3 linked regions of the Macaca fascicularis genome follow. The protein of the gene in region 3 interacts with the protein of the main gene of each other region in a biochemical or structural test. Links are inferred from orthologs where the notes say so. Each region holds a gene or a part of one and is shown on either strand. Other genes may lie near its edges. The genes, in order: NOLC1, TCOF1 and KBTBD8.

Evidence for each region.
Region 1: the proteins of KBTBD8 (region 3) and NOLC1 form a complex in vitro, tested with the Homo sapiens proteins (2 studies listed by BioGRID). The link is inferred for Macaca fascicularis from reciprocal best matches to the Homo sapiens genes KBTBD8 and NOLC1.
Region 2: the proteins of KBTBD8 (region 3) and TCOF1 form a complex in vitro, tested with the Homo sapiens proteins (2 studies listed by BioGRID, with this or other methods). The link is inferred for Macaca fascicularis from reciprocal best matches to the Homo sapiens genes KBTBD8 and TCOF1.

What each region holds. Positions count from the first base shown.
Region 1 is NC_088383.1:111,164,348-111,167,996, reverse strand, and holds part of NOLC1 (nucleolar and coiled-body phosphoprotein 1), read right to left. Parts: coding exon 3,496-3,649; intron 2,539-3,495; coding exon 2,426-2,538; intron 2,302-2,425; coding exon 2,166-2,301; intron 1,538-2,165; coding exon 1,409-1,537; intron 1,201-1,408; coding exon 1,090-1,200; intron 983-1,089; coding exon 335-982; intron 1-334. UniProt on the Homo sapiens protein: Nucleolar protein that acts as a regulator of RNA polymerase I by connecting RNA polymerase I with enzymes responsible for ribosomal processing and modification.
Region 2 is NC_088380.1:157,272,142-157,275,790, reverse strand, and holds part of TCOF1 (treacle protein), read right to left. Parts: intron 3,382-3,649; coding exon 3,268-3,381; intron 2,970-3,267; coding exon 2,750-2,969; intron 2,221-2,749; coding exon 2,135-2,220; intron 1,557-2,134; coding exon 1,376-1,556; intron 1-1,375.
Region 3 is NC_088376.1:130,078,581-130,082,229, forward strand, and holds part of KBTBD8 (kelch repeat and BTB domain-containing protein 8), read left to right. Parts: intron 1-3,120; coding exon 3,121-3,584; 3' UTR 3,585-3,649. UniProt on the Homo sapiens protein: Substrate-specific adapter of a BCR (BTB-CUL3-RBX1) E3 ubiquitin ligase complex that acts as a regulator of neural crest specification.

The sequences.
Region 1 (3,649 bases), on a different chromosome or scaffold from region 3:
AGTGAGATTCTGTCTCTATAGAAAGTTAAAAAATGAGCCAGACATGGTGGTGCATGCTTGTAGTCCCAGCTACTCAGGAGGCTAAGGTGGAAAGATCACCTGAGCCCATGAAGTTAAAGCTGCACAAGCCGTGATCATGCCATTGCACCCCAGCCTGGGTGACAGAGTAAGATTCTATTAAAAAAAAAAAAAGACCAGTTTCCTGTTCTTCCTCCCAGTTTCCACAACTGGAAGCCCAGTGGTGGGCCTCCTCTCACTACCCTACTCTCAAAGAGTATATCCCATCCTGATTTGGGGGGACAAAACCCAGAGGGCATGTTTACTGGGTACAGACCTGATTTGGAAACTGCCACTGCTGCCTTTTTCTTTTCTTCTTCCTCTTCCTTGCTGTTCTTAGCTTCTTTTCCATTCTGGGCAGTCAGTGCAGAGGTGCCATTGGCCTTGGGAGCTTGTGGTCTGGGAAAGCCCTTGCCCTTGGGCTTCTCTTCCTCCTCCTCACTGGAGTCATCAGAGGAAGAACTGCTGCTGCTCTCAGTCTTTCCTTTCTTTGCAGAGGCTGGCTTGGAAGGGGCTGCACCTCCTGCTACCTTCTGTGGCTTCTTCTTAACTGCAGACTTAGCTGTCTTCTCTTCCTCCTCCTCCTCCTCACTGCTGGAGCTGTCTGAATCAGAGCTGCTGTCCCTACTACCCTGAGGAGCCTGCTTGGCAGGCAGAGGCGGAGCTGCTTTGGCAGTCGCCTTGGGCTTAGTGGTGGCCACCGTCTTTTTTTTCTTCTCCTCCTCACTGGAGCTGCTCTCTTCCTCACTGGAGCTGCTGTCAGCATTTCTCATCGGAGGCTTCTGGCCACCGCCCACAGATTGCTTGGGGGTTGCAGCTGGCTTTGCTGCAGGTGACTTGATGGTGACAGTTGGCTTATTTGAAGAATTCTTGGTGGTACCAGCTGGCTTGGAAGGAGCTTCAACATCCTCAGAGCTGTCAGAGTCTAGACACAGAGGGATGGGATCAACAGCTCCCCAATTCAGATTCAGGGGAGCCCTTAGCAGCTGCCTGAGAGCATTTCACTGAACTGAGGGCCTCCATATGCCTTACCTGAGCTGTCTGAAGAACTCTCTGCTGCTTTCTTTGCTGGAGGTGGTTTAGTGGTTGCTTTAGAGACGACTGCCTTAGTTGGGGGTTTCTTCTCTTCTTCAGAACTTGAATCTGAGGAGAACCTGTAGCATTATGCTGGGTCCAGAGTCCCAACCCAACCAGGACAGCAATAAAAAGAATGCAAAGACACACACAGAGCCATAGCTCTGTCTTGCTTTAAGCAAAAAACAATGGAGGGATGGAAGGCTTTCTCTCTCCCTTATTCTTCATCCCCTTCTCCAGACCCACACTGAGGGGAGGCTGCATCCCTCTGACTCACCAGACTCATCACTGCTGTCTTCACTGCTTTCCACAGGCTGCTGCTTCTCCACAGCCTTCTTGGGAGGCTGGGTTCCCAGAGACTTCTTTGGTAGGGGAGCAGAAGGTGGGGGGACTGAACTGTAGGGACCTGTTTAAAAAGGATAGTATGATGGTTTTAAGATATGTCTACAAATTTTTTGATACTACTTTCTTCTAGAAATGAAGCTTAATTCCCCTTGAGTATAGGCCAGAATCATGACTCAGTTCTTTTTTTTTTTTTGAGACGGAGTCCCGCTCTGTCACCCAGGCTGGAGTGCAGTGGCCGGATCTCAGCTCACTGCAAGCTCCGCCTCCCGGGTTTACGCCATTCTCCTGCCTCAGCCTCCCGAGTAGCTGGGACTACAGGCGCCCGCCACCTCGCCCGGCTAGTTTTTTGTATTTTTTAGTAGAGATGGGGTTTCACCTTGTTAGCCAGGATGGTCTCGATCTCCTGACCTTGTGATCCGCCCGTCTCGGCCTCCCAAAGTGCTGGGATTACAGGCGTGAGCCACCGCGCCCGGCCAATGACTCAGTTCTAACAGAACACGGTGTCACTTCTGAGTCTAAGTTATACAAGGCACTGGAGATTCCTCCTTGCTTTCCCAGATCACTAGTACTGGGAGAAGCTAGCTGTCATGTCATGAGGACGCTCAAGCAGCTCTATGGAGAGGTCCATGTGATTACTGCAGCTGGGCCCTGACCACAGTCATACAGCTTGACTCTCCATGTCCAGTCACCTGGTTTATTTTTCAGGGGTTTTTTTTGCTCCTCTTCCTCCTCACTGGAGGAATCCTCACTGCTGGAACTCTTCTGGGTAGGGGTGGCAACTGCTTTCACTGGGGCCTTGGCCACAACTTGCTTTTTAGGTGCAGTCTGCATTGGAAAGAAAACTGATTACCACAGGAAAATGCTGATCCAACCAATCCTGCCAGGGAATGGAGACACACACACACCCCACCCTGGTCACCTCTTCCCTGACCGAAGTTATGGCCCAGACCTTCTTGGGGGTGGCTGCTGCCTTTTCCTCCTCTGAGTCATCACTGCTACTGCTGCTGCTGCTGCTGCTGCTACTGGCTGCTTTACCATTGGCTACTTTAGGTGCTGCTCGAGCTGGAATACCCAAGAAAAAGAAAGAGTAAGGAGTAATAGGGCAAGTCAGGACCATGAAAAACCTCCTTCCTATGAGCAGAGAACTTAGAAGTCCACCAATTCCCCCCCTTTTTTTTTTCTTTTGAGACGGAGTCTGGCTCTGACTCTGTCGCACAGAGCAGTGTGCAGTGGTTCAAGCAACTCTCCTGCCTCAGCCTCCGGAGTAGCTGGGATTACAGGTGCCCACCACCATGCCCAGCTAGTTTTTTTATTTTTGGTAGAAACAAGGTTTTGCCATGTTGGCCAGGCTGGTCTTGAACTCCTGACCTCAAGCAATCCGCCTGCCTCAGCCTCCCAAAGTGCTGGGATTATAGGCGTGAGCCACTGTGCCTGGCCAGGAGTCCACCAATTCTTTCAACTTTAGAGCAGCCATCAAGGAGAATGCCATGGTTTACCACATCAAAGGATGCCTTTCCTATCCCATGGCAGGAATAAAACTAAGAAAAGATGACATAAATAATCTCAATATGCCCTCTAAAATCTTTCACTTCAACCTCCATTCAGAGAAATAACCTAACCCTCAAGTTACAGAAAAAAAGAAAAATTCTCATTTGTCTCATAGAATGACGTACAAGAATAAAAAAGGCAGTGAAAAGCACAACAAATAGATATTTAAGTGGTTACAGTGGAATGGGATGTGTAAGAACATAAAATGTCTATGAAATGTCACAAAAAAATACCAAATGGATATCATTTTAAAAAATATACATTTTTCCTTGCTGCAATAACTGTTTCTCTATTTACTAGCTCCTATGAAATCTTGTTATTAGTAAAACCTTTAAAATTAAAAGACCAGTAATCAATACCTCCAGTTCAACAACCAGTACCATTTCACCCCTGTGCCAAATCAGCAGTTTTAACACAAGTCCCCAGAGCAATCTGGTTCCCAGCCCAGCCTCTTGGGAACAGAAACAGTACCTGGTTTGGGAGGGGCCTTAGCCTGAGCTTTAGCTGCCACAGGTGTTATCTTTGGCTTCTGGTTCTTTGGTGGCTCATCCTCGGAGCTTGAGTCAGAATCAGAATCAGAGCTCTTGGCCTTCTTAGGAGGAGCTTTGGCTGCCTTGGCTTGGGG
Region 2 (3,649 bases), on a different chromosome or scaffold from region 3:
GAGACAGAGTTTTGCTCTGTTGCCCAGGCTGGAGTATGGTGGTACAATCTCGGCTCACTGCAACCTGTACCTCCCAGGTTCAAGCAATTCTCCTGCCTTAGCCTGAGTTGCTGGGAGTACAGGCACCTGCCATCATGCTGGTTAGTTTTTTGTATTTTTAGTAGAGACAAGGTTTCACCACATTGGCCAGGCTGGTCTTGAACTCCTGACGTCAAGTGAGCTGCCTGCTCTGGCCTCCCAAAGTGCTGGGATTACAGGCGCGAGTCACTGCACCCAGCCCACTTTTCTGCTGCTTATCTGCAAATACGCAGAACAGCAAGGCTGGGGAGGCCCTGGAGCTGTCCCAGGTGTGCCCAGCTGGTACATATTTGACCTCAGCTCCAGTAGGGTCAGGGACAGTGGATGCCCCAGAGGTCGCGTGACTGGAATACTCCATTCTGCCCTCCAAACACCATGTGACTATTTTCTACACGTGCCATGCCTTGACACAGATGGGATACATCAACTCCTGCTTTGTATGGTTAAGACACAGAGGCTCAGAGTGGCCAGGGGATTTCCAAGGCTTTACAGTGAGTGGGAACAGCCTGGGGCCAGTCTATTGCCTGGGGTCTCCTGCATGTGCTGAGTGTCCTCCGGACATGACTGTCAGCCTACTGTCTAAGCTATCCTCTGGGGCCCATGGCCCACAACCCACACAGTGAGCCTATTTATGGAGAAGAAAAGTTGATGGGGATGGTTGGAGAGAGCCAACGCTTGCTGCACAAGCCAAAAGATGCGGCTTCCTCTGAGGCAGGGGTTATCCTACCAGGTGCATCAGCACCAACCCGGGCCTGGATACACCCCTACTTCCAGGCTGTCCAGGGCCATGGCAGCCAGACACCTGGGCGTGGGGCCCACCTGTACTTTTTTTTTTTTTGAGATAGGGCCTCACTCTAGCACCCAGGCTGGAGTGTAGTGGCATGATCATGGCTCACTATAGGCTCAACCTCCTGGCCTCAAGTGATTCTCCTGCCTCGGCCTCTCAAGTAGTTGGGACTACAAGCGTGCACCATCACACCAGCTAATTCAAATACATTTTAGAGATGAGATCTCCCTCTGTTGCCCAGGCTGGCCTTGAACTCCTGGGCTCGAGCAATCTGCCCACCTCGGCCTCCCAAAGTGCTGGGATTATAGACGTGAGCCACTGCACCCGGCCCCACCTGCACTTTGATGAGCATGTCCAGATCCAGTGCAGGGCCATAAGGTCTCACTTGGCAAGGCTCTGGGGGCAGACAGGACCACATTGGGAGGACTGTTGCTGCAGGAGAGCAGGAAGGGGCCCACTGCCCTGTCCCTCTGTGTCCTGCTATAATTCCTCCTGCAGACCTTAACTTACCTGTTTTAGGGGACAACATGCCTGCTGCCTGTTGGGGCTTTGCCTCCTGCTTGCCATCTGGGTCATCTTTGGCTGCCAGAGTAGAGGAAACTGAGGGGCTGGAGTATGGCTTGGGAGTGGCTTTTGAGGCCTGGGAATTGGCTGGGGTTAGTCCAGGGGTCACATAACCTGAGAGGAGAGACTGAAGAAGTCCATTGTGAAACAGGCTGCCACCACCCCGACCCCCGCCATAACCCAGCCCGAGTGACGGCCTGCTGCGAGGAAAGCAGCCTGCGGCCTCTAGGATCGCCCTGCCCTGACGGTGCAGAGTGGGCGGACAGCAAGGCACAGAGCAGCACTTCAGCCCTTGGTGTGTGCCTCCTGAACCCTCCTAATACACTTTCTAGACAGGCACATTTAAAAAGGAAATTTCTTATTAATGCGAATGGAAAATTACTAGTTTTTGCCACATACAGATAGTAAGTAACCTTAAAAGAAATTGGCTAAAGAATGTTTTTGTCTGGACATCACCCAGAATCAAGGTCAATCCCTTCTACAGACCCTAAGGGTTAGCTACTCAGGGCTCTACGAGGGGAGGGAGGCAGCCTGGCCGTGGTCTGCTGGCTGGGCCACATGCAGTGCCTTGCAGACAGGACCTTGCCCAAGGCCTCTGAAGAGAGGGGACCCAGACTCCTGACCTGAGTGATGGAGTAGACAGGAGCCTGGCCTGGGGCTCCATCCTAAGGCCCCTGGGCTGCCAGCCCTCTCCCTTGCAGTTACCTGGGATGGCGCCACCACATCATCCTCGCTGGACTCTGCTGCAGTCTCCTCCACCAGGGTCTCCGTCCTGGAGGGGGTGGGACCTACTGGAGAAGCACAGTATCTCCAGTTACTGTTGGTAGCCCCAAGTGGCCCCTTCCAGCCGGGAGGGGCAGAGCCCTTGAGGAAGGCCCTGGTTTCTCTGCAGGTCCCTTACCCCAATCCCCGCCCCACCCCAAATCTTCCTACTGCTTCAACACTCCTTGCACACTCATCGCTAGTCACAGCATGCTAGGCACGACATCTGAATGCCAAAGCCTTATTTCTAACTCCTGAGGCCCCATTTCTAGTTCCCTGCTTTCCACTGTTCCGGAAACATGGCCCTGGAGTTTTGGGGAGCCAATGAAGGGAGTCTGATACCAAAATGCTGAGAGTGGTGAAACAGCAAAGTCAGGTCTCTGAAATCATTTGGATTGACTTTCTCATGAAGTTGTACAGGTGGGGAAACTGAGGCCCAGGCTCAGCCACAGGCACAGAACAAGTCTGAGATATGGAGCTGAGGCCAGAGCTATGGCTCCACCAGGCCACACTCCACCCTCTTCCTGGCCCACCCTTCCTTTTCCCCAGCACCCTCACCCAGCGTGTGGGCCGACTTGGCCACCTGGGGCCCTTCAGCATCTTCCTCGCTCCCTGAAGAGCTGTTGCTGCTGTCCTCACTGTCATCTGAGCTCCCAGGGGCTTTGGTGGCCTGCTGGCCCTCAGGAAGCTTAGGTTTTCTGAGCTTGTTGGTCCCTTTGGCCTGGATGGGGGTGCTCTGGGGACTCGTTGCAGGGAGCGTTCCCACAGCACTGTCAGCCTAATTTGGTGAAAGGAGAAGGAATGGAAGGAAAAATTAGGGCAAGTAAGACCTGGTCCTTCCTGAACACTTCAATAGGACCAGGCACTGTGTTAGACAGGGCACACATGCAGCCTCTTTTGATCCTCCCAACTACAAAAGGTACTGTAATTCCTTCTTACAGATTAGGCCACTGAGGCCCAGGGAGGCAAACCAAGTGCAGAGGTCACAGAACAGGTAAGTGCTGGTGCCAGGACGCAGGGCCACACCTGCACCTTCTATGCTCCGCGGGCTTGCTTCCCCTGCTCCCCAGGCTCACCCCACGTGAACGCTGGGTCCTGGCAACAGGAGGCTGAGCCTCACTGGCTTTCTGGGCGAGGACCTTCAGGGCAGCCTGGGTCAGTGGGAGGGAAGCTGGGTTCTTCTTTGACACCTGCGGGTGGCAAGAGGTAGCCCTGAGACTCACGAGTCCTCGGGATGCCAGCTGTGCCACACCCTGGTCAGATGCCATCTAGCTGGGCTGAGGGCTGGAGTGCGGACTGAGGGGCAGTCACAGGGGCAAAATTGGTGGCAGGCTTCAGGTTATGAGCTAATCACATTGTCCTCAAGGAGCAAGGGACAGTTCCCAGCCCAGGGCAGGGAAGCAGCTTAGGCCCCACCACTCAATCAGCACCTTCACTGGGGACAATCCCCAACCTGGT
Region 3 (3,649 bases):
AGAGTTTTATATAAGCCTTATTATTGCAAAAGTTATGAAACTTAATTACAAAGAGTTTGGAAGTATAGTCTTTAAGTTTCACCTTCACTGCTGTTTATGTTGCCTTTCATAATACATTTTCAATTGTTTTCACCGGAAAACTTTGAGATGTCACTTTTTTTTGGTTTGCCATTTTAATAGGACTGTCTGATATATGTAGTGTTTTTTGTTTGTTTGTTTTTTTAACTGTTAAGGACTACTTTGACAAAAATACAGTAGAGGTAGAGTGACTGAGTCAGAGTAAATAAGACATTTGATTCAAGGCTCTGATTTGTGATAACTAGTATTTTCCTTTTATTTGGTTTCTTACATATTTTAGTTGCTTGAATGTTTAATGCAGTGTAGATAATAGCAACATCCTTATTCTTCATATGTGTCCTTCAATTGATGTTTTTCTCACACTACTACTTAAGGAAAAGGAGCAGCTTCTATGAAGATATACAGTCATGTGCCATGTAATGTTTTGGTCTGTGATGGATCACATACACAATGGTGGTCCTATAAGATTATGATAGCATAATTTTACTGTACTTGTTCCATGTTTAGATACGTTTAGATACAAAAAACGCTTCCCATTGTGTTATAGTTGCCTAGAGTACTCAGTACAGTCACATGCTGTACAGTTTTGTAGCCTAGGAGCAATAGGCTACAGTGTAGCCTAGGTGTGTGGTAAGCTCCCATCTAGGTTTGTGTAAGTATGCTCTATGAAGTTCTTTGCACAAGGACAAGTATCACTTAACCATGCATTTCTCAGAATATGTCCCTGTCATTAATTGATGCATGACTGCCCTTATCCCATTGTTTTCTTTCTTTCTTCTTTCCCCTTCCCCTTCCCTTCTTTTCTTTCATTTATTTCTTTCTGTTTTGTTTTGAGACAGGGTCTCACTCTGACACCCAGGCTGGTGTGCAGTGGCATGATCTTGGCTGACTGCAACTTCCGCCTCCTGGGTTCACATGATTCTCCCACCTCAGTCTCAGGCACCCGCCACCATGCCTGGCTAATTTTTGAGTTTTTGGTAGAGACGGGGTTTCACTATGTTGACCAGGCTGGTCTTGAACTCCTGACCTCCAGTGATCCACCCACCTTGGCCTCCCACCATTGTTTTCTTTTAAAAATTGTGTTCCTTGCTCTAATCCTTTATTTAACTAAAAACTTCCTAGTAATGTCCGAGCCCATTTGTTTAAGTTCAGTGTCAAGTTAATTCCTCAGAAGGAGTTGTAGTCTCTGGTTCATTATTTTAGTTAAATAGAAGCACCGGGCATGATTTGGGTTTGCTGTCTTGCAGAAAAATGGAATATAGGAATGGATGTATAATCTGTCCAGTATAGTTGGATAGGTTATGTCATCCAGTATGATGAAGCTGTGTATGTGTGTATTTTGGTCTTACTGCCTAACTGTTAGTTGATAGAGGTAGAATTAGATTCCTATTTGGAATGTAAAGGTTGTATATTAATGCAAATACTAAAGCAAACTAGCAATGAATTAATAGAATTTCAGGGCTGGAATTATTAACATCATTTAATTTGAGGTTATATTTTACATAAGAGGATTCTGAAGCCCTAAGGGTTTCTTAATTGCATATTATTAGCTTTAACTTATTAAAGAGTACTTTAGATTTTAAAATTCAACTTCTTTGGTTTGTCGTCTTTACTTTCTTATCTATAAGAAATTTATAGAGAAGTAGCACACATTACAAAGTTTAAATTTCCTACCTTCTTTATCAAGAATCCTGTTACAAGTTAGGCAATAAGGGCAGATGATGTGCAAGCAAATCTGGGAGCTTAACAAGCTATTTTAAGTCAGTTGAAGGCAAAGCATCACTGTTATGAAGTAGGTAGTCGAATCTGTAGATAAGAGTAACCCTAGTTCAAAACAGTTTTCAAGGGGAAGCTCAATTTAGAATCTGGTATTTCTAATCTAAACAAAGCCTCTTTACATAAATAAACCTGACATGCATAGTCAGAAGCTTATGTTGTACTATCTGTGGCTATTGAAGTATCATTTAATCTGTTCATAAAGGGTTCAGATTTTTATTACAAAGATTTTATACAGATGCTATAATTAGCAAAACTCTTGTAAATCTTCACTACTTTAATTCTTTCAGACATTTTCATATTGGCAGTCTGACTCAGCATACCTTTTTATTGTCAAATCAAAATAGAAACTGACTCAGAGTCAACATCACAAACCATGTATGTGTTTTCTATCTTATTAAAGGCATGTTTTCTCCTGCTGAATATTTGTCTTTGCATTATAGCAACATTCAGGTAAGCACATCAGTGACCCATAAGCATAAATCTGTATAATTCCATCTGCTGTCTTCTAATGAAATAGCATATACATTTATCATGGCATATTTATGGTGATGTTGTATGTATGCATTTTGGTCTTACCGGCTGAACACTACTAATAATGCTTTTTTAGAGTTAGAGTGAAATGAGTTTTCTATAAACACACAAATTGGATAGAGCAAATAGAATAATTTTTTTTTTTTTTTTTTTGAGCTGGAGTCTCACATTGTTACCCAGCCTGGAGTGCAGTGGCGTGATCTTGGCTCACTGCATCCTTCACCTCCCAGGTTCAAGCGATTCTCCTGCCTTAGCCTCTTGAGTAGCTGGAATTACAGGTGCCTGCCACCGCACCTGGCTAATTTTTGTATTTTTAATGAAGGTGGGGTTTCATCATGTTGGCCAGGCTGGTCTCTGAACTCCTCACCTCAAGTGATTCACCTGTCTGAGCCTCCCAAAGTGCTGGGATTACAGGCATGAGCCATGGTGCCCAGCCAGAATCAAGCTCTTAACAATTCTATGATCAAACCCAAGTAACTCCTTATACCTTCCCAATACAAACCTCCCAATTCAGGTTGATTATAATATTATCGGTTATATTGTGTCATGGAATGACAAAGTTTTAAGGTATTTCGTAACCCATATGAATGTATCTCCAGAGATTATAAAGAAAATGTTTTAGAAAGTGAAATATATAGAAAATTATGCCCTTTAATCTTTAGAGGTTGTAGTTACAACATATAACCAAAAACCAAACATAAAAATATACATATTCTTGTTTTCTTTTTTTAGGAGAATTTTTCCTCTTCTATGAGCCTCAAAAAGACTACTGGGGTTTCCTGACCCCCATGACTGTGCCTAGAATCCAGGGCTTAGCAGCTGTATACAAGGACTCTATCTACTACATAGCTGGAACCTGTGGAAATCATCAACGTATGTTTACTGTAGAAGCCTATGATATTGAGCTAAATAAATGGACTCGTAAGAAAGACTTTCCATGTGATCAGTCCATAAATCCATACCTTAAACTGGTACTTTTCCAGAACAAACTCCATTTATTTGTTCGAGCTACTCAAGTGACTGTCGAAGAACACGTCTTCAGAACCAGCAGAAAAAATTCCCTTTACCAGTATGATGACATTGCTGACCAGTGGATGAAAGTGTATGAGACCCCAGATCGGCTCTGGGACCTTGGCCGGCATTTTGAATGTGCTGTTGCTAAACTGTATCCTCAGTGTCTTCAGAAAGTACTCTAAATGAGTAGCAGGCCTTAGTGCATCACTGGCATCTCATTCTTAGGAAACTTGTCTTTGATACAAAA